Linked DNA regions of Ovis aries. The protein of the gene in region 1 purifies or fractionates together with the protein of each later gene. This does not show direct contact. Links are inferred from orthologs where the notes say so. Each region holds a gene or a part of one and is shown in the gene's direction. Other genes may lie near its edges.

What was found.
Region 2: the proteins of PSMG4 (region 1) and PSMA5 purify together in Homo sapiens (co-immunoprecipitation; 3 studies listed by BioGRID and IntAct, with this or other methods). This does not show direct contact. The link is inferred for Ovis aries from reciprocal best matches to the Homo sapiens genes PSMG4 and PSMA5.

Annotation. Positions count from the first base shown.
Region 1 is NC_056073.1:49,576,608-49,592,075, reverse strand, and holds PSMG4 (proteasome assembly chaperone 4), read left to right. Parts: upstream 1-6,171; 5' UTR 6,172-6,244; coding exon 6,245-6,418; intron 6,419-7,618; coding exon 7,619-7,694; intron 7,695-10,271; coding exon 10,272-10,393; 3' UTR 10,394-10,447; downstream 10,448-15,468. Other genes in the region: SLC22A23 (solute carrier family 22 member 23), read right to left, coding at 14,478-14,835. UniProt on the Homo sapiens protein: Chaperone protein which promotes assembly of the 20S proteasome.
Region 2 is NC_056054.1:86,663,631-86,679,298, reverse strand, and holds the start of PSMA5 (proteasome subunit alpha type-5), read left to right. Parts: upstream 1-5,491; 5' UTR 5,492-5,604; coding exon 5,605-5,633; intron 5,634-10,067; coding exon 10,068-10,134; intron 10,135-14,170; coding exon 14,171-14,297; intron 14,298-15,668. UniProt on the Homo sapiens protein: Component of the 20S core proteasome complex involved in the proteolytic degradation of most intracellular proteins. This complex plays numerous essential roles within the cell by associating with different regulatory particles.

The DNA of each region.
Region 1 (15,468 bases):
GTACTCTTGCCTGGAAAATCCCATGGACGGAGGAGCCTGATAGGCTGCAGTCCATGGGGTCGTGAAGAGTCGGACACGACTGAGCGACTTCCCTTTCACTTTTCTCTTTCATGCGTTGGAGAAGGGAATGGCAACCCACTCCAGTGTTCTTGCCTGGAGAATCCCAGGGACGGGGAAGCCTGGTGGGCTTCTGTCTACGTCTATGGGGTTGCACAGAGTCGGACATGAATGAAGTGACTTAGCAGCAGCAGCAGCAGCAGCAGCAGCAGCAGCAGCAGCAGCATGGTTCGTCCAGAGAACCATGAGAACTGGGGCTCCTGCTGGGCCCAGGATGGAGGTGAAGTGAGGAGGTCGGCTGGTCTGCAGCAGAGGCTAAACAGGTTAACCTCTGGGTGGGGTGGGGCTGTGCTGAAGTGTAATTGGTAAAGAAACTGAACATTTTAAAAGCAGTTACAGAAAAATCTCACGATAGAGGGTTCTATCCGTGGTAACAGTGATGGCTCAGCTTGCTTCTGCCTCCTGAAGGTTTGTCTTCCTCTGGAGCACACCAGCAGGGTCATCTTGTTTTCCTTTCGTGCCTGAGCCTGATGACGTCAGAACCTGGGCAGAGCTCTTCTTTCGTGCCAGTGCTAAGGAATGTTCTGGGACAGTTGGTGCCAGCAAAAATATTTTGTCTGCATTCGTGGAGAGAGAGTAGGGGAGCTGCCTGAGGAGCAAGGGAGAGGCGGATGCACTGGGAACGCTGGCCTTTGGGGACTTCAAAGACTGATGGGGGCTTCCCCGGTGGCTCAGATGGCAAAGAATCTGCCTGCAATGAAGGAGACTCGGGTTCAGGTCCTCGGTTGGGAAGATCCCTGGAGAAGGAAATAGCAACCCATTCCAGTATTCTTGCCTGGAGAATCCCATGGAGCCCTCCAGGCTCCTCTGTCCATGGGGTTCACAAAGAGTTGGGCACGACTGAGCAACTAACACACACACACACACACACACACACACACACAGAATAGTTCTGATAGCCCCTTTTAGAAGTCTTCCCTGAAAACAGACTCCTCACATTAGGTAATTTTGGTTGGAGAATCTAATCCTCTTATTTTAAAAATGACGGAAGATGAGAGCTGCTTAAAGGACTCACCCTGCTATTCTGAGAATAGATACCTGGCCAGGGGCTGAGATGAGGGTGGAGGCCGTGGGGTGGGGGAACCATTTAGGTTAGTGTCTGCGTCAGATGGAGGCGATGGGCAGAGCCAGCAGGGAGATGCCTGAATGCCTAACAATCAGGGGCCACGTTCTAAACTGGGAGACTGGAGGAACCAGCTTGCCGGGGGACCCCTGGAAAATGAGAGGTTTCTAGGCACATTCGAATGGAAATGCTTGGTGGGCAGCTGAACTTATAGGGTTGAAGCTCAGCAAGGAGGCTGCCTACAGGGACACAAATTCGGGGGAGGTCGGTGTGGGCTGTGAGGTGGGGTCCCCTGGCAGGGAGAGCAGCTCGGGCAGCAAGTGGGCCCTGGAGCTGGGGAGACTGGGACCACCATGACCCAGAACCTGGGGGGACCCTGAGAAGGGGCAGGAGGGAGGAGACATGCTGGAAGCTGCAGCAGCCGGGGCAGGGGAGAGGCTGTGTCAGCCTACGGCTCTCACAGCCGAGGTCTTTGGTGGCGTCGGTGGGACCCACTCAGGCGCGGAAAGGCAGCTGGATGGAGTAGGTTCAAGAAGGCAAGGGTGAGGAATGGCAGGCATGTTGTGGGGCCGCTCAGAGCCAGTGGGGAGACAGGGATCTGTTTAAAGATGCGTCTGCACACTGACAGGAGTCGTCTAGTAGGGAGGGGCGGGTCAAAGATGCAGGAGAGAGATGCGACCTGCTGGTGCCGCCCTGGACGTGAGACGGGGCCCGCGTGTGGAGGACTGGACTTAATCCCGGGATGGAAGTGGATGTAATGGTTCAGTTGGAGAAAGTTTTTCGGGTTGGGGCGGGGGGTGGGACAGATCTGGGGCAGGGCATGCATTATCGAACACTCTTCGGTTTAGAAAATGACTCGAGTGGTTTAACCATTTGGGCCACGCCTCCTGACCCGGGGCCCTGGGAAATCTGGACTGCACTGGTTGTGATCACTCTTAGAAAATCGTGCTGTTCTGTTGCGGTGGCAGAATAGTGGTGCTCATCCAACACTCCATCTGCCCCCCATCCTGGAACCCCTCCACGCCCAGCCACAGTGACGGGTGGCTATCTGCGGTGAGTGGGCTATAAGAGGCTGTGATGCGTCACTTCTGGGTCAGAGCACTGAAAGGCTGGACCCAGCACTGCAGCTGTGACCCGAGGTGGCACCTGGAGCCCAGTACCCCCACTCCCCCACCTCCTACCCTCTTGTCCAAGCTAGAAACACATCGTGAGCTGAAGACGAGAGTTGGTTCCGTCACAGCACTGCTGTTTCAGGGTTAAAACATTACCATCATGTAACCTGGTCTATTACTAACCTGGCATATAGCAGAGTTTGGGTCTGACTTTGGATTAAAGGCCCAAGGATCTCATGAGAGACTGTGGTGATGCTGCTGACATCCTGGATGTTCTTGTGACTCACTGTGCTGTGAACACGCCACACACGTGCCTGCGCACAGCTGCATCTCCAGGTGGGGCCCATCATGAACCTGGGACTCACCTTTCCTCCCCCGGGGGGGAAGCTGATAGGTGTCTTCCCCATGGGCGGTTCTCTTATCCATCACCTAAAGCCTGTAGTTCTTGGTGAAATTCACACCAGACCGAGGCTCACAACCCACACGGGTGGCAGAGAGAGGAGAGGGATGAGTTGAAACACCGGCCCATCCCCTCTTCAAGCCCACAGCTGGCAGGCTGATCTCTCCTGAAGCCTCCTGCTGCTGGCTTTGCATCTGGGGGCTGTGGGCAGCGTGGGAACCAGGACCTGCTCTTTTACCTGAGTGTTCTAAAATTAAACAGTTTAGAGAAAAGACTGACCCTGAGGATAGGATCCAGGCCCTTCCTTTGCTCTGCAAAGCCAAGGCGGCTCTGCATGGGGCCCGCCTCCTTCCCACCTGCCACCCCGCGGCCCCCTGCAGAATTACAGGCTCCTGCCTGTCCTGGAGTGGAAGGATCCTGTTACCCGTCTGCATGCTTATCTGATCTTCACAGGACACTAGCCCTGGAAGGCGCCTTGCTGCTGCTGCTAAGTCGCTTCAGGAAGGGGCCCTGGAGGTGACCTAAGCCAGTCTTTTCATTTCCAGCTAAGGTAACAGAGGCCCAGCGCAGGGACACAGCGCTAGCGAGAGCTGGGCCAGGCCAGGAGCCTGCAGCCCCGTGAAGTCCCTGGCTGTTCCTCCAGCTCCCTCACTCCCCCAACCATTCAGTCCATCTTCCCCGTGCCCCCAGGGCCCTGCCAGCTACCTACCCCAAGGTGAGGGGCCCCCGGAGCTGCCCCGAGAAGCTTCCTGAGAAGGAAGGTGGGCAGGAAAAAGGACATTGTGCCAATGATTGCTCTGTGCGAAGTAAAAAGGCAGGCCAGGAGAGGCTCCCCACTGGGCAGAGTCAGCGAACCTCCCTCCGGACAGGGGGCTCTCCTGCAGGGAAGTCAGGGAGGGTGGGGGAGCACAGGGCAGGCGGTGGGGGTGGGGCTGGGCCTCCTTGTGGAGCTCAGCGTCTGCAGAGCATCAGTCTGGAATGAAAATGGCCCCCGCAGTTGTTCCGTGTTGAGCTGAAATGGCCTAGCCTTTCCGCAGCTGCTTCTGTCAGTCACTGGGTGTGGGCTGCCTGGGGAGGGGGTGCAGACCCCGAAGGAGCCCACAGCGGGAGGCTGTCTGCTCTGGGCAGTTCCAGCAGCTGGGACAGCCAGTCCTTTCTTGAAGGGGGTCTGGGTGGCACATCTCAGAGGCCACCACAGTGTTTGCAGAACTGGCATGGTTGATGGGGTGGGTTCCTGAGGACATGCAGGAGGGCAGGGTCAGAGCACAGAGGGAAGAATCAACCTCGGACACAGGGAGGGGGCATCTCTGCTTAATGAGGGGGAGAAGGAGGTAAGAATGAGGCCACCGGAAGGTATGGGTTTGAGTAGAGGGACAAGGCCTTGGGGAAATTGAGCCTGACAACCTCGATTTTCTTTCTAAATGCAGAAGCTGGGTTATGTGGTGAACTTGGGCTTGGTGGGGTTAGGGCTTGAGGGGAAGCGTCCTCGAGGCAAATGAGAGGGTGCAATCCTGGGGCCCGCAGGGCAGCGTGTTAGGGACAGCTGCTGATGGGGTGGTTAGAGGTTGTAAGCCTGCCTGCTGGGTCATGTGACTTCCCTGGTGGTTATCTGAGCCCAGTGGGAAGAACAGAGAGGAGCACAATCCCACCTGTGCTGGGGCTGGACTGGGGAGGAGGCAGGGAACAGGGGGTTAGCTAGTTGCCTTAGGTTCTCAGACAGCTCTTCAGGATTCTTTAGAGAGAGAAACTCTTGATTTGAAAATGGCGTTTGTCTTCTAAGGGGACAAGGCATTAAGAGGGTATTAGGAGTTAATGTGGGGTGACATCACCTGCTGTGTCAGTCCAGTTTGTTGACTTATTTTTTCATGGATCACACTTCTGGTATTTTGTTGTGAAATCTTGGTCTGATAAAAGGTCACAGACTTTCCCCTATGTCTTCTGCAAGTCCGACAGCTTTAGGTTTCCCATTTACGTCTCTGAACCATTTTGACTTCACTTTGTGTATGATGTAATGTATAAATTGAAGTTCATTATTAATTAAGGAAGTGCAAATTAAACTTACATTGAGATACTCCTTAGGATGGCTAAACGAAACAGACTGGGACATACAGTGCACAGTCACTGTGGAAACAGTCTGTCAGGTTCTCAAGAAGTCACACACGGTACAACCATTCTGCTCCAGGTCTTTAACTACGAGAAATGAAAGCACATGTTCACACAGAGACTTACTTGTTCACACGTGTTTGCAGCAGCTTAACTGCAGCATCCCCAAACTGAAAACTGCCCAAGTGGACACCACCGCATGGCCGCTAAACACACAGCGATGTGTCCAGCCAGCGGAACCCGGATCATCACTGACTCGTAACAGCCTGCGTGAATCTCAAAATAACTGTGAGGAGAGAAACGGCAGACAAAACACTGTATACACTGTACGTTCCATTTACATAAAACTCTAGAAAATGCAAACTGCTCTGTGACTGAGTGCAGCGCAGCGTCCCGGGTGGGGGTCAGGAAGCGCTCCCAGGGGCTTGAGGAAGCCTCTGGGGGTGATGGACATGCACCCTCTTGATTGTGGTGATGATTTTATGAGTTACACGCGTTACAGCTTCAGTTTGTAGACTTTGATCAGTGCAGTTATTGTAGTTTCTTAATAAAGCTGTTAATCTATTATAATATTGACCTGAAAATTATAGATTGAATCATTAATTAGCGAACAGAGCAAGCTTTTTAACAATACTTACTTTCTTAACTGTCAGTTCAATTTAGACCTGTTAGGGATTTAAAAGGAAGAACTGATATCTCTATCCTTAAGCCCAAGTTAGTTGTAACAGAATCTGACAAGAATGGGCGCTCTGTGCTTTTTACTACAAAGACACTCTCTCAACACACTGCAGGGTCCCTGTGTCAACTCTAAGGGTGCCAGAGTGACTCAAGTCAAGCTCCCCAGCAGGGCTGACAGTGGCCCCCGTCCCCGTCTCTGAGGCAGATGGGGAGACTGAGTCTCGGGCTGAACCGTTAGCCGAGGCCCACGCTTGTACAGGGGTCAGCTCTGCTGTCTCGGACCAAAGGCGCGTCAGCCCACGCCCCTAACTCAGTCCACGCCCCTAACTCAGTCCACGCAGCTCTCCTTTTGAGAGCTCCTGCAACATCGCTGCCATTCTCATGGGCCTCCTGCAGCTACGGGGCTGCTGGCAGCAGGAGGGTTTTAGAAAGTGTAATCCAGCTCGCGGGACACAGGCGGCAGCGCTGAGCGCTCGTGGCACCGAGTAAACAGCGCGAGATCATGCGTCTATACCCGGGAAGGTGCTCCTGCGAGTCTACACTGCGCCCAATGAAGACGCCTGCCCGCCCCGCCCCCTCCCGGGCCCGCCCCGCCCCCTCCCGGGCCCGCCCCGCCCCCTCCCGGGCCCGCCCCGCCCCCTCCCGGGCCCGCCCCTCAACTTCCCACCCAGGCCCCGCCTTCCCGGAAGGCCCCGCCCACTCGGCCTTTCGGCGCTCTCCTGCTGGCGTCTGGTGGCGGCGGGCGGGTTGGCGCGGCCGGGCTCCGTGCGGATGGAGCGGCCGGCGGCTGCCGCCGGCGGGGACGTGTCCCTGCACAACTTCAGCGCGCGGCTGTGGGAGCAGCTTGTCCACTTCCACGTGATGCGGCTGACGGACTCGCTCTTCCTCTGGGTGGGGGCCACGCCGCACCTGCGCAACCTCGCCGTGGCCATGTGCACGCGCTACGTGAGTGCGGCGGGGGGCGGGGAGGGGCGGGGAGGGGAGGGGGCGGAGGCAGGGGGAGGGGGCGGAGGCAGGGGGAGGGGGCGGAGGCAGGGGGAGGGGCGCTGGGGTCCCGGCGGGGCGGGTGGGGGAGGGGCCGGGGGCTGCGCCGCCCGCCGCGGGGCTCTGTCCCTCCGCACGGCTGGTTCCCTCCACCCCGCGTCTCTGGTTGGAGTGTCAGGGCCCCCGTGGGACCTCTGCTGTCCGCTCTCACCCTCCCTGGGCCGGGGGTGGCGTGTCCCCCCGGTTTTCTGCCGGCTCCCCGCTGACCGCGTTTGCTTACATCTCCCGCACGGACCTCTCTCCCGCCCTTTCCCTCCGCCGTCCCATCGGGCTGTAACTGGTGTCCCACTGGGCGCTCCAGACCCCAGGCCGCCCCTCCCGCAGAATCCGGCCACTTCTCACCTCCCTCACCTGTCACCTGGGCCCCACGCCATCGCTGCCGTCGGCCGAGGTCCCCTTTGCCACCGTGTGTCAGAGCTGCTGTAACCAAGGGCCGCAGCCCGGGGAGCTTGAGAACAGCAGAGAAGGCGGAATCGAGGCGTCAGCGGGCTGCTTCCTCCCGCTTCTGGGCTTGCAGCGCTGCTCCCACCTTGCGGCGCTGCTCCCACCTTGCGGCGCTGTTCCCACCTTGCGGCCCCTGGTCTGGCAGCCTCATCACCCCAGTCCTGCTCCAGTGTCCCAGGCCTCCTCTGTGCATCTGTCTCTCCCCTTCTTCCTAAGACACCAGTCCTGTTAGAGGAAGAGTCCACCTCCCCTTGCTTACATCTCAACTACATCTGCAGAGACCCTGTGTCCAAATAAAGTCACCTTCGCAGGTGCTGGGGTCAGGACGCTAGGACCTGGACACTCCTCTTGCAGGCCTGGCTTAGCCTGGCACTGACAGCATCAGCGCTGTTGTCCCTCCGCTCAGACCCCCAAGAGTTCAGAGCCTGCATGGACCTCCAGGCCCCATCACGGCTGCGGTGCCCCCGCCCCTCTGACTTTGCACCCACTTGCCCCTCTGGGCTGCTCCAGCCCTTCCCTGGGCAGGCCTGTCTGCTGCTGGGAGAGGACACAGGCCCACTGCAGGGGGAGGCTGGTCTGTGGCAGGAAGGGGGGCCCAGGTGATCCAGGAGCGCTGGACCTCGCAGAGGAACCAGTATCGCTCTGTTTTCCTTGCAGGACTCCATCCCCCTGTCCACTGCCCTCCTCGGGGACACGTCTGACACCATGTCCACCGGCCTCGCCCAGCGCTTAGGTAAGTTCTTCAGCTCAGCTGCCGGAGCGCCCAGGTGGGGACCTCGCTGTTCAGTGGAGTGGGGAGGTGAGTCAGCGTAGGAGGAACGGTCTCCGTCTGGGAGGTGACCCCCCTGGTTGCTGCAGGAAGCCCAGGCCTTGAGCACAGGTCTCAGGAGGTGGTGCCAGCACCCTCTCCAGGGGCCTGCTCCCCACCCGCTCCGATGGCCTTGGTTGCCTCCGAGCCGATGAGTGACAGGTGATTTTGCTCCTCGTTCTCATGGGAGGCGAGGGTGAGGGATGCCCACGGTGCCCAGTGGCAGCGGCTCCAGGTAGCATCCACTGCACGTGATGCTGCTCAGAGCTCGAAGGGAGAGGGCCTGGCGAGGTTTGGGGGCTCCAGCCTCCACTGTACCCAGAGCACACGTCCTGCAGATGCCTCGCTGGTCCAGGTGAGGATGCCCGTGCCTGGTGGTCCCTGGTGCTTGGGAACCTCAGTGGGTAGAGCAGCCTCGCCCCCGTCTGGCCTGAGTGTCCCGGCCACGTGTGGAGCCCAGTGCCTGCCGGGGTGTGGCGATGGGACCCCTGCCATGGTTTTGAGGCGCTTACCTGTGGCTGTGTTCACAGATCTGTCAGCCTGGTCCCTGGGGAGTGGGCATGTCTGTGCCGGTCGCTCTGGGACGCCCCACAGTCACATGCAGCCCAGGGAATGGCAGCTTTCTAGGGGCGGGGTTGTCACAGCGCCCACAGGCCGCACCAGACGGGGTGGAGACCACAGGGCCAGCGGCCGCGTCTCAGGACCATCCACCACACTTGAGCTTTAGTCTCAAGGTATAGGAACCCGAGTAGTACGTTATCTTGGTGACCTCTTAACAGGAAGCAGTTCTGAATCCACAGATAACCAGCAGGAAGAATAGGAAAGCTTCCTGTTTCGCCTTCGTCTGGTTCCCAGGTGCTGCTCTTCCTTCTCTGCCTTCGCCAGAGTTGCTAGTTTTCAGTGGAAATGGGTTGGAACCCTGATGCCCTTTTGCTTCACTGTGTGTGCCTGCGTTTCAGGGTAACACCATCCCCCGCAGCAGCCAGACCTCCGTTTGCTGGGCCTGGTGGAGGAGGGCGGGAGCCTGCCTGCGTGTGGAGCTCGGACTGGGGGGTCCCCGAGTGTGGACAGAGTCCGGGAGTGGAGGCAGTGGGAGCTCGTTTGAGGAGACACGAATGAGCTGGCTCCCAGTGTCCTGGGGGTGAGGCAATCTGTGAGCGTAAACTGGGGCTCTTTTAATCTTTTTTTTTGCATTTTGTGCAAATGTTGGGGTTTTTTTAAATTAGCATTTTTCTTTCACGTGGTTTACATCAGTTTACAAACAATGTAATCTGAAACAGAATACAGACATCCTCTGTAACTTAGGTCAGATGTGATGGAGGCGCCTACCTACCGATATCCACAAACCTGGCAGCCATTGGCCACCACCCAGCAGGGATAGGCATGCGTGGTGAGATGCCAGCCCACTGCCCAGCAGGGTCAGACGCATGTGGTGAGATGCCAGCGCCCCCCGGGGCAGGTGACATGCTTGCTGAGATCGTGGCCGGCCGGCCTGGGACGCCCTGCTTGTTGTCCTTTGGAGCTGGGGTCTGGACCCTGCAGTGGAAGGCGTTATTAACTGTTACTGGTTGTCTGGACGGTGCTGAAGAGACAAGTGTCCCGAGACCATCTCGTGTGGGAGATGAGCGACCTGGGGGCCCTGGGGGCTTCCCGTGAATGGGGACCCCTTGCTCCATGCGGCTCTGGAGGGCAGAGGGGCTGCTGGGCGGACGTGGAAGGTGGGCTCGGGGTTGGCGCGTGAAGGGGTGGGAGTCAGCAGCCCCTGGGGACAGGGACTTTCTGCCACTGAACGCAGAGCTGCTGTGATGTGAAGGGCCCAGCTTCCCCCTCCGCCCACTGTTGCCTCTGATGGTGGGACTCATCTGTCTCTGTGGCCTGTGGGGAGGAGCGCTTTGCCTTTGCCCCGGGGGTGGGACCAGGTGAGGGGGCTGGTACCGCCCGCTTAGTCCTCAGGACCCGGGGTTACAGCTGAGGTTGGTTTTCACGGTTGGAGCTGCTCCCACCTGCCCTGGGTGGTTCTGTAGAAAGGGGCTCAGACGTGTGCTCAGCGTCCAATTGAAAACCACACCCGTGTGTGTGCGCGTGTGTGCACACCCGCACACACGTTCATGAGGAGTGTCAGCTCCTCTGGGAGGAGGGTGGTGGGGTTGGGGGAGAGGGTCGTATTGAAGGACCTTTATATTTTAAATCTGTGGACATTATCTGCGCTTTGAAGACGCGGAGCAGCCGGCCTGTGTGTAGCGCAGGGGCTCACAGACACCGGGGTCCTTGAGCAGACTCGGGGGCTGGGGGTGCGCCTCACTGGGCCTCGGGGCCGTGGCTCTCAGAGCTGCTCTTCCCGACGCCGGCAGGCTCTGGCAGCTGGTCTGTTTTGCAGCAGTTGCCCGTGATGTCGTCGGAGTCAGAGCTTTCTTCGCTCTCGAAAAGCCTGCCTTTCCCAGGCCTTTCTCTGCTACGGGCAGGCGTGGGGTCACACGCGTCCCTGTGGTCTCTCTCTTTCAGCCAGGAAGACCAGCAAGCAGGTCTTCGTCAGTTATAACCTTCCAAACACCAGTAGCAGCTTCGAGTTGCTGGTAGAAAACCGGATCAAGGAGGAAATGCAGGCCTTTCCGGAGAAGTTCTAGCCGGAGAGACTCGGGCACCGGGGACGCTTGAATAAACAGCCTGGATCCACTGCGGCACAGGTCCACGAGTTCCTGTTTGTGTTTAAAGGGCTGGCCTCCTCCCTCCTGTCACCGGGGTGGGTCCCGGGAGGAGGGCCCCAGCAAGATGTGCGAGGATGGGGGGCCGCCCGGTCCGAGAGAGGGCATGGGCCACGACTGTCAGGCCGTCCTGCTGGCTCCATCCCCTGGGTCTTGCTCCGCTGGGCCCTGTCCCCTCACCTGGTAGGTGGGAACCGTCTCACCGGGCTGGGTTATCGCCAGAAACGCTCTGCAAACCCTGGGTGCCGGGGTCCCTAGGACCTGGGTCCCGGGCTTACCTGCTTCGCTGAACATCCCAGCGTCAGCCCCTCCCCATGCTTCCGCCAGCCGTCTTTCCTTCTGTCTGCTCTCTCCTTCATGCCCCGGGCCCCTCCCGCCCACGTCCCCCTCTGCCCACATCTTAATCCTCAGCGTTTTTCCGTGGCTCACGGTGGCGTCAGTCTCTCTGGGACACGTGCTGCTCTCCGGAAGCTGGAGTTCCTGGGTTGGTGGTTCCTCACTTGGCTTCCAGTCACGTCCCTGGGGAGTTTTCACAGCTTCCTCCCCAGAGTCCGGCGGCCCCTGCTTTGTGGGCCTGGAGAGTGCCCCGCGTGCTGCCAGCACAGGACTCTGATGCTTGGGGTCCACGTGGGCCCCTTCTGTCCTGGGAGGTGGTGGTCTGGGACCCTGGAGCTCGTTTCACGTGGTGGCAGGTGTCGTGTCCGGCCAGTGCCCACAGCTGAGCTGGGACAGCTGGGATGAAAGGCCCTTCCAGGGACCGGGTCCCGGGCTAAGCCACTAACCTGCCAGCCCCGGCCAGTCACGGCTTGGAGGTACGGCGGGCATCTCTCTGGGCGGAGTAGGTAACAAAATCAGGGCTATGGAGAGGAGAGTTTGGTATAAATACTTTATTAAAGAAATATTGCTTTCTTGTTAAAAAAAAACACTACATTAAAGAGAGCTCTGGGTGCTGTCTTCCCTGACAGTCACAGTGTGAGAATCGTTCCCTCCTCGGGAGGCTCCAGGCCCTGGGTGAGGTCAGCAGGACGTCCACACGAGAGGGGCGAGCTCGGAAACCTGCCGCCCCCTCCTCGGGGGTCTGAGGGCGGCACTCAGCACGTGGTGGGCAGTCACCCCGCCCTGCCTCCGCCCGGCCAGGAGCCCCCCCACCGCCGTCCTGGGGCAGGGCCGGGGCTGGGGTCACACGGGCGCTGAGGCAGAGACACGGTGAGACCTGAAGCAACAGGGTTTATTCCTTGTAGCCAGTGGTCGTGAAATGCCCTGTAGGGGATCCCACCGGATGAGGTAGGGAAGACATTCCAGAGGAGGTGTGTTAATGGGGCAACGTCTTTATTTCTGTACATTTACACAGATCCCCCCCGGGGTACAACAGCCGTGACGGCATGCAGGCAGCATGGAAGGCTGGGTCAGGGCCGGGCGAAGCTTTGTGCTGCCAGCAGGCACTCCAGGGGGCCTGTCCACTCACGGGCTGCATGGGTCCCGCCCAGGAGCCTCCAGGTCGGGGCTGTGGGGCACAGAGGGCCCCCCAGCAAGGCCGGCGCGCTGTGTCCCCCCGGCCCGGGGCTGCGTCCTGGCCAGGGTCCCCTCAGTCTTGTGGCCCCTCGGCCCCCTTGTTTGGCTGTAGGAAGTGGTACCTGGGGCAGTACTTCCGCTGCAAGGCCTCATTCTTGCTCTTCTGTGGTCGAACCAGCTCACCAGCCCCTTCCCCCTAGTCGCAAGTGATTAGGCTCTTAGAAAATGAGACATTTAAACTCTTTTACCCTTTGTTTCGGGTGGTAATATGCGGGATATTGGATGAGTTGTTACTGGTTTCTGGAAAAGAACAGAAAGCAGAAGGGTCGCTTGTGTGCCTGACTTGTTGGAAGGGGGTCCTGGCTTCCTGGGGTCGGGATGGGGGTGTGCAGGTTGGCGCTGGAGGCGGCGCTGGGTGGCGCTGGTCTCCCGGGCAGCGGGCATTCAGGTGCCTGAGCAGCATCTCCCTGCTGAGTGCAGAGGACATGGGCGGGGGCCCACGCGTGACCAGAGCCTGGCCAAGCAGGCGGGCCCTGCTGCCTTGCCCACGCGGGTGGGGTCTCGGGGGCTTGGCCCACGGGAGGCTTTTCTGCTTTGTCCCTGCTTCTCAGCTGTTGCTCACAAAACCCGAGCCTGTGCTGCCACAGGCCTCTGCTGGGCAGTGCCGCCCTCACGCCTGCAGGAGCCCAGCTCAGCCAGCTTCTCCAGTCCAGCAGCCGGGCCTGACTGTGACGGGACAGTGCTGACCCCACAGGCCCAGCGTCTACCGCGGTCACCTAAGACGGACAGTCTGGGAGTGGTGTGCGGGGACACCCTGCGGCCTCACGCGTTCCCTAGAGGTCTACACCGCCAGCGGGAGGCCACGCAGGGCCTGGGGCTGCTGCCACAGGTGCAGGCACAGCTGGTGGGTGGGGCCCGGGGACCCCGCTTGCTGTCCCGGGACCTGCACTGTGGGCCTGTCCTGGACCGGGGGGGCCCTGTGCCCAGCATGCGAGAAGGGCTGAGGCACCTCCCAGTTTGCGCAGCAGACAGACAGGCCTGGAGGTGAAGGTGAGTGTGACCCGCCCATGGAAACAGAAGTGAAGTGACTGAGACACAGGAGGGGCTGGAACGCAGGCCTGCGAGTTTGCTTGCTTCCCCACAAAGTTCTCCTGAGCCCACGGCCCCTGCCGGGGTCAGCCAGCCTGTAGGGGCACAGTGAGGGGCAGGGGGGAGACAGGCCGGGGGGTCAGGCGGGGAGCGTGGGGCTTGTGCTCACCTCTTCCCTGGCCGTGGGGGCTGCACCACTGCGCGCTGAAACTTGACTTGCGGCTTCGCGCAGACCCGGGACCACACTCTGCCTGGAAGAACAGCCCACGGCAAAGCCGTGCCCCAGAGCTGGGGGCTGGGCCTTCCAGAGCAGCCCAGGCTGTCCCCAGACGGGTGCCAGAGCTGCGGCAAGACAGTGCCCGCCTGGCTGGCGAGGGTAGCTTCTTGGCCTCCCCTGCGCTGCTTCTGAAACAGCCGCAGACGGGAGCCGAGGGCCTAACCTGGACGGGCGGGAGGCCGAGGCGAGGAACGCGACGCGCGCCCTAGCACAGTGGGCCGGGGCCGGGGCCGGGGCGAGCTCCGGTGGGTTATTGCTTCTCTCGGTCGGCCTCGATGTCCTCCGAGGCTGCGGTCAGGCCCCGCCCGAGGCTCGCTCCTGGCCAGGGGAAGCAGAGGGCACGGCTGGTCCCCCGCAGGCTCCCCGGGGCCTCCAGGCTGGTGATTTCCGTGCGGTGTTAGTTCAGGAAGGAGCCGGTATTCAAGTCGTGCTGCAGAAACGCTGACTGCGAGGCGGCGCGGCGCGGGGGCCTCTCCTGCGGAGCTGCACCGGGAGGAGGGCCCAGCACTGACTCGGGAGGCGAGGCGCTGGCTGCTGGGGAGCGGAGCCGGCAGACCTACGCTGGAAGACCTTGGCGATGTCACCACTCATCATTTACGACTTCCGGTGAAATGGTGATGCTTTTCCCCTGGAAGAGCTTCCGGGTCAAGTATAAAAGGATGATCTCCAAGTAGAGACGAAGCTGGTTTTAATGAGATTGTGAGCTGCTTTTCCTTAACACAGAGCGGAAGTTCTTCCCTTACAGAAAAGACCTTTACAAACCATCACAGAGACTTTAGCAAAACCCTAACCATTCACATCTCAGTCTGAGGAAAGTGCAGCCGTGGGAATGCTCGGGGGCAGGGGCACCCCCCGGGAGCCGGGCTGCGCGGTCCCTGCGCGCGCGCGTCCTTCCCGAGGAGGGGGCTCCGTTTTGAGATCAGTGAAGGGAAGGGAATAAAGTGCTTCTTGTAAAAATGACCAAAATAAATACAAACATTTCATGGCAGAAAAGAAAGTCTCTGAAGGGTCGTCTGCTAGGTCTGCTCCCTCAGACGCGGGCGCTCCTCGAGAGTTTTGCAGTGTCTCCCACCCCCACCCTCGGGTCCCCAGCCTCCGCGGAGCGGGGTCTCCCACGGCCGCGCCCAGCTACATGGGCCGCCCGCCATTGGCCGTGGCGCCGTCAGGCAGCCCGTCGCCTGCGGCAGCCGCGTCGTGCAACCCCGAGTAGTCCTTGAGCTCGGCGTGGGTGGGCAGCAGCGGCTGCTCGCCGCGCCGGGGCGGCAGGAGAGGCTGGCGCGTGTAGTGCTCGCCGTCGGGGATGCTCTCGGGCAGACTCTGGCCCCGGCTCTCGGGCAGCAGCAGGAGGCAGATGATACAGATGAGCGTGCAGCAGGCGAAGATGACGTGGTGCAGGAAGTAGCCCTTCTGGTTGTGCAGCTCGATGATGGGCGCCGTCAGCATGCCGAAGCCCGCGCTGGCCAGCACCAGCCCCAGCCCGCCGCACCTGCGGGGCGCACGGGTCAGCGGGGCGGGCCGGGCTCCACCCCCGCCCTGTCCTGTCCCGCGTCCCCCTCCCCCCAACCCCCGTCAGCCCAGGCTGCCTCTTCGTTCACTTTCAACGGTGACTATAATAAACACCAGCGTAAGGGGGAAAACCAGCCTCACTTGCTGTACATGATACAGGGTGTCTGGAAACCAAGTGTTACTAGCTTACGCTGTTGTCCCGAGGCTTGCTCTTGGCTTAGAAGAGAGGAGGGTGGCCACAGATTAATGAAGGCATTAAAAGCACATCAAGATGAAAGCTGCCAAGACAGCGGAGCATAGGGACCCCGCGCTCACCTCCTCTCACGGGCCCACCAGAATCACAGTGGTCTGCGGAACAGCCGCTGATGAAAAGGACCAGAAACTGCCAAACAGACCCACAGCTAAAGACGTGAAGAAGGAGCCACGACAAGATGGGCAGGAGGACCAGACGCACAACACAAAGCCTCATGACCCCCACTGGCCCGCTGACCCACACGCTGGGACTAGATTCCAGAGATCTCCTGCAGAAGTGAGTTCTGAGCCCCAAGTCGGGCTACCCAGGCTGGGGGTCCTGCACCAAGAAGAAATACACCTCAACACAATAAAGGCCATA
Region 2 (15,668 bases), on another chromosome or scaffold:
ATTGGGTGGGCCAACAGACACCATGGACCCACTGTTACTGACTTTAGCAAGGACCCCATTTACCACAAGGCCCTCATAAGCTTCCAGTCTAACAGGGGGCCGTGACAATGCTTGGGTCTCAGGGTACTGAAATCCACTTTTTGAGTCAATTTTCTGGTTTTCCCTCTTCCACATGTGCAGTCACTATAGTAAATGGCCACAGGTCTCTTTGGGGAAGGACTGGAGAATTATTACATGTATAACTTGCTGAAGTGATGCAGGATCTGCCATCTCTTAGTCAACGGATTTCTGATCTGAAAAGTGGCCCAAATCCAGACACTGAACAAGGGATAATGAATTTTTAGCTAGGGTTGGGGGTGAGGGGGACCATCTTCAGTCTCCTATTTTTCCATCTTGGCCTGTTTTTGGTTGTAGATGTTAACTTTACCTCTAGAGATGCTAGGCTCTATATCCGTCTCCATAATTCCCCGTGGGTCAAGGCCCTTGGCTGACAATCTTGTCAGATGTTGCTAATCTTTTTAATATTTGTGGCCTCCCAGTGATTAAATGCCACCATCTGGCCTATATTTCTTGGGGGAAGGGGGATATCATTCCCATAGTTATTAATCAATCCCAGCTCTGTTCCAACCCCAGACTGGTCCTATGTCAGCCCAGACTGCAGAGAACTCCTTGGTGATGCTCTTGCCCCTCACCAGAGGATTTCTGACGGCCTTAGTGAATGGTGTGTTTCCTGGGTCTTCCTGTGGAACATAATCCTCTGATGGGTCCTCTGGCCTCACACCTATTCCTGCAGGCCCACTTCCCTGTCTTTTTATTCATTCTTCTACCACATGCCAGGGCAACTGAGACATTTCTACTTTACTCAGCATTGGCCATCACTTTCTCTAGGTTCCTAAAATCCCCCCTGCAGTTTGTTTCATCCCCAAGGGTTTTGGCTATGGTGTTAAATCCTGTGCCTCCAGAAAGTGCTCCTAATTCAATGAATTCCTGATTGTAGTCTTATAGTCCAGCCCCTTCGATCAAGCAACCTCAAAATTCAACCGCAGGATGCTCTCCTGGCTTCTGTCTGTATATGCTAATTCTTACAGCTCTTTGTATATAATCTCTTTCCTTCTGTATCAGGCCATGTATGTTCTCAGCTGGGCTTCGGTAGGACTTAACTCTAGTAAATCCTGGAGGAGGAAATGGCAACCCACTCCAGTATTTTTGCCTAGAGAATCCCATGGACAGAGGAGCCTGGCGGGCTACAGTCCATGGGGTCGCAAAGAGTCAGACACGACTGAGCAACTACTACTACTGCCCTGGCAGCCAGTAGAGGAGGAGGTAGAGGCTTCTATGTTGCCTTGTGGGGCAGTGGCTCTGCAGTGTCTTTCAGCATGAAGGGAGTAATAAGAAGAGGCAAACCACCTCTGCAAATTTTGAGAGTTCATGCGGGGCTTGCAGAACTAACGTCCTTACAGACGTCCATTCAGATGCACTATCTCTTGTTTCAGGTTTTCTCAACTGGGGCCCTGACCTGTTGTCTCTTTGATGTCTCGAGTCAGTGGCTTAACTGTCAGCTCTTCCATGATAGGAGATAAAAGCCTCTTTGAAAGCTACTAAAGAGGCCCACTGTCTCTCATTCTCAACCATTATCCAAGGGAGAACCCTTGCTTTCTCCTTATTCCTTTCCAGAGTGTCACTACAAGTGCAGTAACCAGTAACTGCCCTTACAGGCATGTTTCTCCCCCAACCACCATGCATTTCACATGCCTGAAATTGTACCTGCAAGGGCTTTCTCCTCCACTAGGATGTGTTCCCAGGTTGTTCTTAGTCGCTCGGTCATGTCCAACACTTTGCGACCCCATGGACTGTAGCTCACCAAGCTCCTCTGTCCATGGCGATTCTTCAGACAAGAATACTGGAGTGGGTTGCCATGTCCTCCTTCAGGGGATCTTCCCAACCCAGGGATCAAATCCTGGTCTCCCGCATTGCAGGCGGATTCTTTACTGTCTGAGTTAGCAGGGAAGCCAGGTTACTAATGATTAAACCTTTAGCAACTGGATCACCAACTGTGTTAGTAAGTACCCATGCCCTTATACTACTCAGGAAAGCGTCATCTTTGTTTACAAGGTAGTGAGTGTGCCAGTCACACTTTCTCCACTTTCTATGTTTTCCTGGACCTCTCCTGGTACCACCTGTGCTAGTTTGGGCCCTCTAAGAGGCAGTTGCCAAAGTGTGATTTGACATGTACATCAGCTAGGGCTGGGTGGCTTAAACAATAGAAACTTATTTCTCACTCTTTTGGAGGCTAGAGGTCCAAGATCAAGATGTCAACAGGTTTGGTTTCTTTCGGGGCCTCCATCCTTGGCTTGCAGATGGCCACTTTTGCAGCATGGCCCTTCCTCTGCACACATACCCCAAGTGTCTCCTTACGTGTCCAAATTTCCTCTACTTTTAAGCAATCAGGCAAACTGGGTTAGGGTTCACCTTAACAGGTTCATTTTAACTTATGTCTTTCAAAGACTCATCTCCAAATACAGTCACATTCTGAGGTACTGTGTGTTTAGGGCTTCAACATATGGATCCTTCAACATATGGATCTTGGGGAAATCACAATTCAACCCATAATAACATGCAAGATATTTATTAGGGGAGCTATCTCTCAAAGATAAAAGGAAAAGGAGAAGGGAAGGTGGTAAAGTCTGCAAACTGTGACTGTGAAGTCACATACCTGACATCTATGCAGAGAAAAAGGAAAGGATTGAGTAGGCAGGTCTCAGACTGCAGCACAAATTGAAGAAACTCTAAGTTAGGCTGGTGGGTCCTCCAGTCAAAACTGCCCATCAGAGGAGTCCCAAACGTTACAGCAATGAACCACATGAGCAGCCATGTGCAGTCATTTATAAGCCAGACAACTACGGGCACATAAAGAATTTCGTTTAGGGACCACTTCTTACTGGTTTCTTTGCGTAGTGTTTCCAGTCCACTCTGGCTGTCCTGCCACACTTTATTTTGCTCCAGGACCCATGTGCCTAGCTCTCCAAGGTGTTTATATGTCTTTCTATTTTTTGAGTCCAGCTCATTCTCTGTTTACTTCATTCCTTTCCTTTCTGCCTATGGCTTCCTTATTATTTTTTTTCAGAGGGATATCCAGTTCAACTTTCGATGAAACATTTATTGAACGGGATTGATTACGGGCAATAAACTACAGTAGGTGCTGGATTTTTATGCCCTAATGGTCTACTTTCTTGGGAGAAAACAAGATTTCCCTTCTTATCCACAATCAGAGCTACCTGCAGCTTCCTTTCACTTATGATATATAGGGCACAAGCACATTTACCCTGAGAATTCTACATTCAAATAATTTTTTGAGACATTCACCATAATATCTGATATTAATAAGGGCTGCAGAGCACCCTGCATCCCTGGATGTTCAGGATATATTATTATGCTTTAAGTGAGCTTCCCTGGTGGCTCAGCAGTAAAGAACCCGCCCGCAATGTAGTTTGATCCCTGGGTCTGGAAGATCCCCTGGAGAAGGAAATGGCAATCCACTGCAGTATTCTTGCCTGGGAAATCCCATGGACAGAGGAGCTTAGTGGGCTGTAGCTGTAGTCCATGGCATCACAAGAGTCAGACAGGACTTAGTGATTGAAAAACAACAACAACCTATTTAGATACATAGGTAATATTTATGTAGGTATGTATAAATAGTTCAGTTCAGTTCAGTTCAGTCGCTCAGTCGTGTCCGACTCTTTGCGACCCCATGAATCACACATGCCAGGCCTCCCTGTCCATCACCAACTCCCGGAGTTCACTCAGACTCACGGTATATTTCAAAAGAACTTCAGAAGAGAAAGCATAATGAACTTAACAAAGCATAATGCAGCTTAACTATGGCCTTTATAATAGAAAGGCCATATTAAGCTGACCAGAAACCTGAGGGATAAATCTAAAAGACGTCTGAGAATTGCTCTTGGAATTTCTCCTCAGTTTTATCAGCGTCAAACTTCTTACTGGCTGGAGGACACAAAACAAAATTCCAGTTGAACTCATGAGGGAAGGACATAAAGGATGGGGAAAACAGATACCAATACTCAGAAGGCTTGTTTCTATATTTCCCTTAACACTGAATTGCCTTGATCATTTACAAACCTAATCTGAGGCCAAGTCAGGAATTTGAGAGAAACAGGCCTGGAGAGGTTGAGGCCTTGACCAGTGGTATATTATTAACCAACAATGGAACGCTGGCGTTTCTCTTTCAGTCATACACCACGCACTAAATGACTTCCTAACTGGCTATCTTTCTTGAACGTATCATTTACAGCTTTCTATGAAGCTGTGAGTGTGCTCTCCTACCCTTAGGGAAGGTAAGTTAGAAAAACAAACAAGACATTGCTGCCAGTTAATTCATGGATAATAGAAAAAGCAGTGAACAATTTGAATCCCAGATCCAGAGCTCTGGGTCACTAGGTTGAAAGCCTGTAGTACTAGTGGCTGGGGGGTAAGAATGGAAGTCCCCTACACATGAATGAGTTCCCTTCCAAGAGCGTGTTAGTAAGTCCAACAAAGTTAGCCTAAGCATCCAACTAACACAATCGGCTATATAGTACTGTACTGTAATAGGTTTCTAAATACTTTTCACACTAATATATAAAAAACAAACACAAAAAAAATAAAGAAAACACTTTTAATCTATGGTACAGTACCTTGGAAAGTACAGTAGTACCAGCTACATCACCACTGCTTTAGCTCACTTCGGGATATCTTGGCCTTCAAATAAAGATACTATACTACTGTACTCTATATACTACTGTAAAGAACACAAAAGCAAAACCACTTGTAAAGGACGCACACATGTGACAATGTGAACTATCTTAGGTAACTGGACAGGGGAAGGCACTTCCCACCTTTGAAAGTTTGCAACTTTCAACTTTGAAATTTCCTATGTAGGAGACTTCCTGTAAAATTACCCTGGCCATGGGGAAACTTCAAGACCTTCCTACCAACTAAAACTCACCAACTTTTCTCAACAAACGAGCCATGGGAAGGGTGAGCTGAAGTGAATGGACTCGCTCACAGCACCGGTGCAGACGCAAGCATTTCCCAAGTTCAGTCCTGCAGGCAGTCACAGCACCTGGAGGGAAGTCTGCGCCAGAGCCGGAAGAGCGGGGAATACAGCTAACAGCCGGGCGGGTGGACAGCGAGGAGAGCCTGGGACAAACGCTCTCTGATAGGGACCCATCAAACCAGGGTTCAGACAGTCCGGCTCGCCATAAAATTACCCAGTCGACAATCTTGGGACAGGTTGACCACACGCCTTCAGTTCCGAGCGCCCCTGGCAACCACTAGCGATTTAAAACGGAAGAACGACCTTTGTCCCGCCCACCCTGGGCCACCGGAGGCCCGGCGGGTTAGCTCGTTGGCCCAATCACCTCGGCGGGAACTCCGATCAACCAATAAGAGACAGGTACGGGAGGGCGGGCTGAAGGGTGGCGAGCGCACGCGCAGCTGGGAGAGTGGCCCTGGCAGTGTGGCGGTGTGGGTGAGTTGGTTGCAGGTGGACTCGTGTTGGCTCTAAGAATCCCGGAGTAGCCACTGCCGCTTTCTCCTGCCCTTACCATGTTTCTCACCCGGTCTGAGTACGACAGGTCTGTATGGCTGGGGGGGAGGGGAGAGGGGGTCAGGTAACGGGTGGGCGGACGCGGGGCCCGGTCTGGGCCTGGGTTCTGCCGTGTCATCGGGGCACCCCCACGAACCCGAATTCTGGCCCAGCCAGGGGGTTTCCTCCCTTCCCCAGGCGTCCGCTGTGTTCTCCAAGGCTAGATTTGCGCCCATCGGCCTCAGTTGTCCTACCGCTGAGTCACTGCTGGGTCCCAAGTCGGTGCGGAAGCGTGAAGCTCCGCTTTGTGCTTCGGAAAAGAAGGCTGATGGGGCCGGAACTCTGACCTTTAACCCGGGGAAGGCCAGGAGTCACCCTCTCTCCCCTTCTTTTTGTGCTGAGTGTGACTGCCTTTTAAAAGATGTAAACGCGCTACCTGGAAGAAAAAGCAATTAGGGATCACTTAATGGGTTTGATGATTTCAGCTCCCTTTTCTTTCTAGGAGGACAGCCTCGTTTTCCGTTTCTTAGTTGTGGGAATAAAGGTGCTATTCCTTTGATTGAGTTGTAGTAGGGCGTCCTGGGATGTTTAGTTTCTGCAGAGGAGCGAAGGAAGTCTCAGCTTTGCCAAGACACAGTGTCTGGAGTCAGATTTTGTGGGAACTGAAATTTAGAGTGATTCTCAAGAGTTTTGTCATCATGCTGATTCAAATAGCCTTTTTGAATTTTTAAAAAGTTTAAGGGAAGTTGCTCTAAGTGTGTCGAAAACCAAACCTGTTTTTGAAATCAAAGCTGTGAGATTGTTGTATCTTTAAAAAACTTTCAGAGCTTGGGAATGTTAATATTAAGTTGTTCTACTTATGCTGTAGACATTTTTACTTTCAGTTTCTGTTTTGATCAGGTATGATTCACATAGCTAGCTATTAAGTTGCTTAAAAATTTTTGAGGCCAGGAAAGGCAGATGTTTTCTCTTTATTAGATGGCTTTGAGAAGCTGCATTTCTTCTCAAGTATATGTTGATCTTGTTGAAAGTCTTATCACCTAGAACTGCTACTTCTAAAAAAAATTTTTACTGACTCATAAGATGTATGTGAGGCTTTAAAACTGACTTTTTTTCTACTGTCCTATAAAATGACTTTGTTGGTCGGTATTTTCTAAAACATTGAAGAGAATCGTCTTTGTGTGATACAGTTTTGAGTAAGGGTGTGTATGATGGAAATTGTCCTTATCAGAAAACCTTTATTAAGGTTTTTGTGATCATTTACTTAACAGCTTTATTAACTGCTTCGTGTTACTCATTTTTGTATCTTCCTGCGTTTGTGTTGAGTCGCTTTACTCGTGTCTGACTCTCTGCGACCGCATGGACTGTAGCCCACCAGGCTCTTCTATCCAGGGGATTCTCCAGACAAGGATACTGGAGTGGGTTGCCATTTCCTCCTTCATTGTATCTTCATAAGAATGCCTAAAATATAGTCTGCTTGGCTAATATACTTAAATGCTTGCTGTGTACAAGGCACTGTTTTAGTTGCTGATCATATAGCAGTGAAAAAAATCAAGATCCTTGTTCTCATATGGGAGACTGTCCTTTAAAAACTACTTAACAGGAAAATTCTCTGGTGGTCCAGTGGTTAGAATTCTGGGCTTTCACTGCTGAGGGTGCAGGTTGGATCCCTGGTTAGGGAACAGATCCTATAAGCTATGAGGTATGGCCAAAAAAAAAAAACCCCGCTGTTTACAAAAGTAACTACAGTATAAGTCAGAAATGTGTTCATGTCATTAGAGAAGCTGAAATCAACACTATGGGAGTTTTAATGACAGAGGTTGCATTTGATATTATAAGGGGATTATGGAAAACTTTAGAAGGAGTTGATATTTAAACTGAGTTCAGGAGTAAGAATTTAATAAATATGCACAGTAAGAGTCAATAGTTTTGAGGCAGAGAATATAAGATGAACAGAGGAGGGGCCGTGAGAAAACACAGTTCATGTTTGAGAAAATTCTAGGCTTCTGGCACATACAATGCGCATATGGGAATAGGGAGTTCAGAGAAAAACACTGGTGCTAGGTATTGGGTGGCTTTTAATTTGAAGTTGAAGGGTTTGGGTCTTATTTTGTGCCATTAATTGTCATTTTAAGTTACACAGTCATAATTGTATTTATAGGAACTAATTGACTGAATTAGAGGAAAGAGTCAATACCGGTTAGATGGCTGTTATAGTTAGGTGAAAGGTAATGAGGGCATTGAGAATGGAAGGGAGAATTGAGTTACTGTGGGGGAGGAACTGATTTAAATTAATATGACTTGGCATATGGTTAATATGGGAAAGGGCTTCCCAGGTGGCTCAGCGGTAAAGAATCTGCCTGCCCATGCAGGAGCTGGAGGTTCATCCTTTGGTCGGGAAGATCCCCTGGAGGAGGAAATGGCAACCCACTCCAGTATTCTTGCCTGGAAAATCCCACAGACAGAGAGGAGCCTGCTGGACTCCAGTCGGTGGGGTTGCAGAGTCCAGCACGACTGAAGAGACTGGGCACTTGTGCACTAATACGGGAGAAGGGAAGCACTGAGTCAGGTCATTCAGAACTTTCTCGCTTGGGAAACTGGGAGCAGGGAGGTGTTTCAAAGTAAACAATGAAGTAGGAATGGCAGCAGGTGGAGCCGATTTCGAAAGGATGACTGGATTTAAGATTTATCAGATTGGAAAGTGTTAAGTGTTTGGTATTAATGGGATATCCATGTGGAAACACTCAGAAGACATTCAGCTTAACGAGGAAAGAGGTCAAACTGGCAATAGAGATTTGGAAGTAGTTAGTGCTTAGTATAGATGAAATAACCCAGGGAAGGTTTGAAAAGAGGGCCAAGAGCAGAGCCCATATTAGAGAAGATATGGGAATACTTCACCAGGATGAAGTTCCTGAATTAGAGCGAAAATACTGTATTCATATTCACAGAGTAATTTGGTGGCTCAGACCGTAAAGCGTCTGCCTACCATGTGGGAAATCCAGATTCGATCCCTGGGTCAGGAAGATCCTCTGGAGAAGGAAATGGCACCCCACTCCAGTACTCTTGCCTGGAAATTCCCGTGGACGGAGGAGCCTGGTAGGCTACAGTCTATGGGGTGGCAAAGAGTCAGACGACTAAGCGACTAAACTTTCACTTTCATAATCTGTGCCATTCAATACCAATTGTATTGTGATAGAAGCAGGATAGGTAGGGTGTTTTTTTTTTTTTTTTTTTTTGCATTTGAGAGAAGGAAAGTTAGTAGGTGACACAACTAGAATTTAATCCCAGATCTTCTGCCCTGACTTCCTTCTCACTGATTTTTAAAAAACTGTTCTTTAGAGTCATAAATTTCCTTTTAAATGACCTTGAGGAAAGCACCTCTGGGGAAAATGAGAGGCTGGAATGGTGAGATTCTCCTTTGAGTCCTGATAGTTAGAAGCTTCATCTCTGTAGTCGGATTGACTAAATTCTCATTCCAGCTCTGATTCTTATATGCTGAGTGACTTTGGGCAAATTACTCCACCTCTTTGTGTCTCAATTTCCTCTTCTCTAAAATAGTATCTGCTTTAGTTTACTTCATGGGATTGAGGATTAAGTGTGCTGTCATTTCTAGGATTATAACAGTGCTAGGCATATAGTAGACATGCAGTAAACATCAGCCTTTATTATCTGTTTTATGTTTGGGAGTTACACACACACATTTCTTTTAGGGGAAGAAAGTTTTTGATAAATTTGAAAACACTGCTCTTTGTCATGATAGTTACATGTTATAAACTCCAGATTCCATAAACCAAGGAACACAACTATTTGCTTTTATTTGTTCAAATATTCTTAGTGTCCATCACGTGCTGAAAGCTTGTATAGCTAATACTATGCTGCCTCTTCTCCAAAGGAATTTCTAACAGACCGGAGCAAGGAAAGGTTGGGAATTGTTTAAGGGAGAAGAGCATTCTGGCATATAATTAGATAATATACTGAGTGAATTAATCAGGTTAGGTTTTAGGAACCACACAGATCTGTCTGTTGTTCCGATAACAATACTAGTTCATTCGAATAACCAGAGAAATGCCCCTGTGGCTGACTTCTACTAAAAAGAAATGTCAAATGCACATAATGGAAAGAGGATAAGGATAAATGCACGTTTTCTTAAGAATTACCTGATAGTTTGGGGGCATGAATTTACCAAAGGGATTCCAAATTGATTCAGGCTTGAGGCAGAAAGTCGCCTACTCTCATTTGGTCAGTTTGAAGATACTCTGAGAGTGGGACAGAAGTGTTCTGTACATAGGTTCCATTCTCTTGAAAAACTGTTAATGTACCCAGAAAATAGAAGCTTGTTGTGGTTAAAAGAGAATAATGACAATATGCACATCCGAGCTAGATGTCAGGGAACTTGAGTTTAATGTCTCTATGTGGTTTTTTTGTGTGTGTGTTTTTTTCTTTTCTCTGAAAATTTTAATACCTTTTTTTCTTTAAATTATAGGGGTGTGAATACTTTTTCTCCTGAAGGAAGATTATTTCAAGTCGAATATGCCATTGAAGCTATCAAGGTATAGTATCAAGTAGTATCAAGTGGGATAGTTTTTGAAATTTCATGTTTAATGCTTTGCTGGCAGAGCATTTGGAGTAAATGTATTTAAATAATTTCTTTAGAAAATGTTCTTTATCTCCCTTTAATCAATCACAGTTAACTATAAAAATATTTTAATTGAAGTATAGTTGATTTACAGTGTTGGGCACAATTAAACTTTTTTATAACTGATTGAGTCCCAACTATTTGAAAGCTTTTTAAACAAATTACTTCTTCACAGTTATGTAAGTAGCTTTTTCTTAGTAGGGTTGGAAGGACATGTTTGTGTTTGTAATGTTCTTAACTATAAAGAGAGGGGTATAAAATTCCTGAGTTAGCACCTGCGAGGTATTTTGTCATCTTGAACAAATTATTTAACTGATCGCCTGTATTCTTGTTGGTAAATTTGTCAATTTGTACTAGATATTTTTGGGACTGAATAAGAGATGTGTTCTGTAATCTAACAACAAAATTGAATAGTTCAAACCAGTTTTCAAAAAGTTAGAAAGTAAACTGTATACTGGAATTTAGTTATGTGGGATCTTCTCTTTGTTGGATTGTGGATAGTCTGAATTCTGATTTAAACCTAAGTTAGGTCGAGGAGAATGAGGTCCAGGCATCAGTATTTTAAGGACTCCCTTGGTGATTCTAGTGTCTAGCAAGGGTTGAGAATTACTGATCTAGTCCAGCTCTTCACTGTTTCAATCACCTTTACATCCCCAAACAGGTTGTTTTTGTAGTTCTAGTGACAGAATATTTTCTCACTAGATAGCCCATTCTGTTTGAAAATAGGTCATAATGGTTTAGAAATTTATCCTGTATTGAATTGAGTCTAGCTTCATGAAATTTTCTTCAATTGGCCCTAGTTTTACCCTTGAACCATACAAGATGTTTAAACCTCTTCCATAAGACAATTGCCCACATATTTGAAGAGAACTGTTGTGTTTCCCTCTAAATTACCTTTTCTAAAAAGTGTATATTGGGGAAATGGTTGTATGACAGTCTGGAAAAGGGCAAAGCAGATTCTTAGTTGAAGGTGTAGAAGTGAAGGTGGAAGCATTGTAATAGATAGTAGGCAGAAAATGATGGACCAGCTACCTGAGCTGTTTTTCTGTTTCCTCACAATATTGTTTTCCTGAGAGTTAATAATTCTTCTTTAAAAATTTGCCTGATTTGGTATGTAAATATCAATAATTCATCCCCAAGTTCTCCAGGTTATGCATATCCTTTCAAAACACCCAGGCACATTAAGTATCCCGTTAAAAGATTCTTAAGAAATCTTTGAGCCTATGACCTGCTCCAGCCTGGCTGATTCTCTGGGCCTGTGGCATGGCTGTGCATTTACGATCTTCCGTTGTCATCTTCCTTTAGCTCTCTCTTGCATTGTTTTATCATTTTATCCTTAAAATGATATGATATAAATCAGGTTGCTTCTGGACTTTCTTTGCTTAGCTTAGGATTTGGATTTCTCATGTCTGCTTTATTAAAGAATTAAGAATCCTTTAATTCTTCAAGGATTAAAAAAATTTTTTTTTCGTTAGATTTTTTTGTACCCTTAAACTAGCTAGATTCTTTAGATACATTTTTTTGAACTGCAGATCTTGAATTAGTGGGCATTGGGTCAATTTAGCAGGTAGTAGGAGCATCTCTCTTTTTAAGTGGAATGGAGCCATGGATTTCAGGATGCCTTGCCCAGAGTGTTGGTGATTTCTTTTCTTATTTTCATGAAACTTTGTTTCTATTTGTTTCTTTGTATCTATTTGTACATTTTGGTCCTTGATGTAGAATGTATTTCTTAATGTAGATTTGATCAGAAAATTTGAAAACTCCTGCTGTAGAGAAAACTGCCTCTTCTCATATCATGCCTGAAGGGTATTTTTGGCTACTCACTTCCGAGAGCAGTGTAGGGGAAGAAGGCTGGGATTTGTAACATTAAGCTTGTCAATTTTTACTTAATCCCCTTGTTTTGACAGTAGTACTCCTACCTTTGAATGGTGCTTGGTGTCCTCCAATGTAGACGCACCCTCATTTTATGCTTTCCAGAGTCGTCTGCAAGAGTGGGAGTGGGGGGCATACTCTAGCTTTACAGTGTGGGGTAAGGGATCTAGAAATCTGTTTCTTAAGCACACACTGAACTAATCTTGTAATTTTTAGCTGTTCCACTTCTATTCCCAGAGATCCTTGTTGCCATCATTCCCTTTTTGAGCACCAGTAGTGGGGTGGTCCTGTGATATAAATCAGGTTGCTTTTGTACTTTCTTTACTTAGCTGAGGATTTGGGTTTCTTGTGTCTGCTAAGTAAATTATCACTTGCCCACCTTCTTTTTTGAAAATGTTGTTGTTTCTGTGGCTTTGCCTTTCTCTTTGTCCTAGTATGTTTATCCTACCCATGCTTAAGCCCTTTAATCTCCTATCCTCAGGCTTGGGGAAGGAGTGGAGCTAATGTACATATTCAGTCTACGCCTTTACTCAGAAGTAAGAGCATTCATTTTTTACATAAAATTCTTTGGCAGTTCATTTCTAGCATTTATGCATATACTGTGGATTAATAAAATATACAATGAAAAGCAGGTATATACGTTTAGTAACACTTCTAAATAATGTAATGGCAACCCACTCCAGTATTCTTGCCTGGACAGCCCCATGGAGCCTGGCATGCATCCATGGGGTCACAAAAAGTCGGACCCAACTTAGTGACTCAACAACAACAAAAAATAAGGTCATAACTTCGTACATTTGAAAAGGAATACAGATATGTATGAGCTATGATCATTCAGTCTACATATGTGTTGAAAGCATGTTGTGCACAATGATTCATGAAATTCGTTCAAATACTTTGCGATAACAGACTCCAGGAACCTGATGCTCACACTGACAGTCATTGCTTTGTAGAACTAAGTGAAAAAAATGGCTATTTAGAGAAGCGAGCACATATAGTCCTGGGAGACGTTACGAATGATGGGGTGGGATTTGGATTGGAAAGGGGAAGAGTATATTCCAGGGGTGACGGCATGGCAGAGGTGCAGATGCAGGGGATGACATGGCATGAGGAAATGGATTTGGCTGCAACAGGAGGATCTGGTTAGAGGATAATGTGTAATAAAGTTGGAAGAGAAAAGTATGGTTAGGTTTTGAGAACTCTGGAAGCTTGCTTGGATTTTATGTGTAGGTAGTATAGGGAGACATTGGTTCTTCACAGAAGAAGTATAATGAAAATAGCATATTATTGTATCAGTTAGGCTATCCATGAACAATGCATTGGGAGAGAGATTAAAGATGGGGAGACTAAGTAGGAGGCTGTTGAAGTCATCTTGGCACATAAAACAGCTAACATCTGTTGCTTGTTTATTATGTGCAAGTTGCCATTTTAAGTATTTTATGTATTAGTGTGTTTACCCTTCTTGATGGATAGATATTATTACCCCCATTTTGCAGATGTGAGATGAAGGGTGGGTGACTAGGATGGTGTTGTGCAGCTGGAAGGATGAAATCAAGCTATATTGTAGACTGCTAGTGACCTTGAGAGAGATTTTTATGTTGTTGGTGATGTTTCTTTTTCTTTCTTTACTTTTTTAAAAAATTTTTTTAAGTAAAATTTTTTTTCTGGAGGTCACATACATTTGAGGGATATCACCTTTTGGGATAATTCAAGGTAGCAGAGGTAAAAAGATACCAAGTCCAAAAGCAACATTACAGTTGTATTATTTCTCATCCACTATGTTTAGGACTTTAGAACCTGCCCGTCTCCAAAAAACTGGCGCCAGAGTTGATTGTTTTCCAGACATTTTGAATACCTTATAATAAAACTTCCCCTTTACAAGCACAGAATTCTGTAAATCAATGGTCTTGTCACTGACAGGAATAGTACATTATTTATTAGGGGACTCCTGTTCTCTCTGTGTACTAGCTATGGCTGATTGAAGCTTCAGTCCTGTGAAGATATACAGAGAGATGTCTGGTGAGTAGGTGAGACTATTCTTTGGCTTCTCCATGATAACATAACCTGTTTTTCTTTAGCTTGGTTCCACAGCCATCGGGATCCAGACATCAGAGGGTGTATGCCTAGCTGTGGAGAAGAGAATTACCTCTCCACTCATGGAGCCCAGCAGCATTGAGAAAATTGTAGAGATTGATGCTCACATAGGTAAGAAGTAGGGGAAGATTGTTCTGTAGGATCTTGCTGAGTTCATCAGGCTTCCTTGGTGTTCCAAGGGAGGTTCATTAGGTGAACATCTGATTCCCTTGTTAGCTGTTGCTTTCCAGGCCATTGTGCATAATATTGGTAGTAGGAAGCAGTTGTAGGATTCACCTACTCCCAGAAGTTCCTTTCTCCCTCAAATTTAGACTTGGCAAATGTGATGGTTATTGAAGCATGTAAAAGTTGAATCATAGGCCAGTTCCCTATGATGGCTGGGTCTTCATGGATGTATAACATTAGGAGGCCACCTGGAGCAGAATTATCGTGTGGGCAGCTAGGGGTGTCCACTGAGATAAGAGAAATTCTTAAAGATCTTCGGAGTGACTAAGGTGCAGAGAGTATAAAGATAATAGACTTTCAGATCGCTACTCTTGCTCCGTTTTCAGATTTATCATTGTATTCTATCTCCCCCTGCCTTCCCTTCCTCCCCTCTTAGGTCTCTGATAAATTCCCCTCCTGTAGCTTCTGGCATCACTGTAACATAAGGAGTAGTTCTGCTTCTTTATAGCATGGCATTTTAGTTGACTGCCCACATTTTCTTCACCTATCTATTCATCTAATTAATGAAACATTGATAAAATAATTAATTGCTTGAAAACATCAGAACCAGATGCCATGGTGATGAAGGAAGCTTGACACTATCTCTTTCGTAGATACAGAAACTGAGATTTAGTCTTTAAGGATTAGAACATTGTGTCTATCTCAAGCCATCTCATCTACCTTTTGGAGGTAGGTCAGGGTCACTTCATTCAACAAACTGACAATCTACTGTGTGCCAGACTTTGTGCTAAACACCCGGGACACAGAAAAGAGACATAGACATAGTCCTTTGTATTCTAGGAGCATGCAGTTTAATCACAGAGATAAACATGTAGATAAGTCAATGCAATTAAGTGATGTAGAAGGCAATGGCACCCCACTCCAGTACTCTTACCTGGAAAATCCCATGGACGGAGGAGCCTGGTAGGCTGCTTGTCCATGGGGTTGCTAAGATTTGGACAAGACTGAGCGTCTTGACTTTCACTTTTCACTTGCATGCATTGGAGAAGGAAATGGCAACCCACTCCAGTGTTCTTGCCTGGAGAATCCCAGGGACGAGGGAGCCTGGTGGGCTGCCGTCTCTGGGGTCGCACAGAGTCGGACACGACTGAAGCGACTTAGCAGCAGCAGCAGCAGATATTAAGAAAGACTGTGGCATATGCTCAATAGGAGTATAACTGGGGAAATACTTAGTTTTTCCTGGGGCGTGTGGTAGTGAGGTTTTCAGAACATAATTCCATAAAGGTGATGCTTGAGCAGAGCTGAATTCTAAAGGAT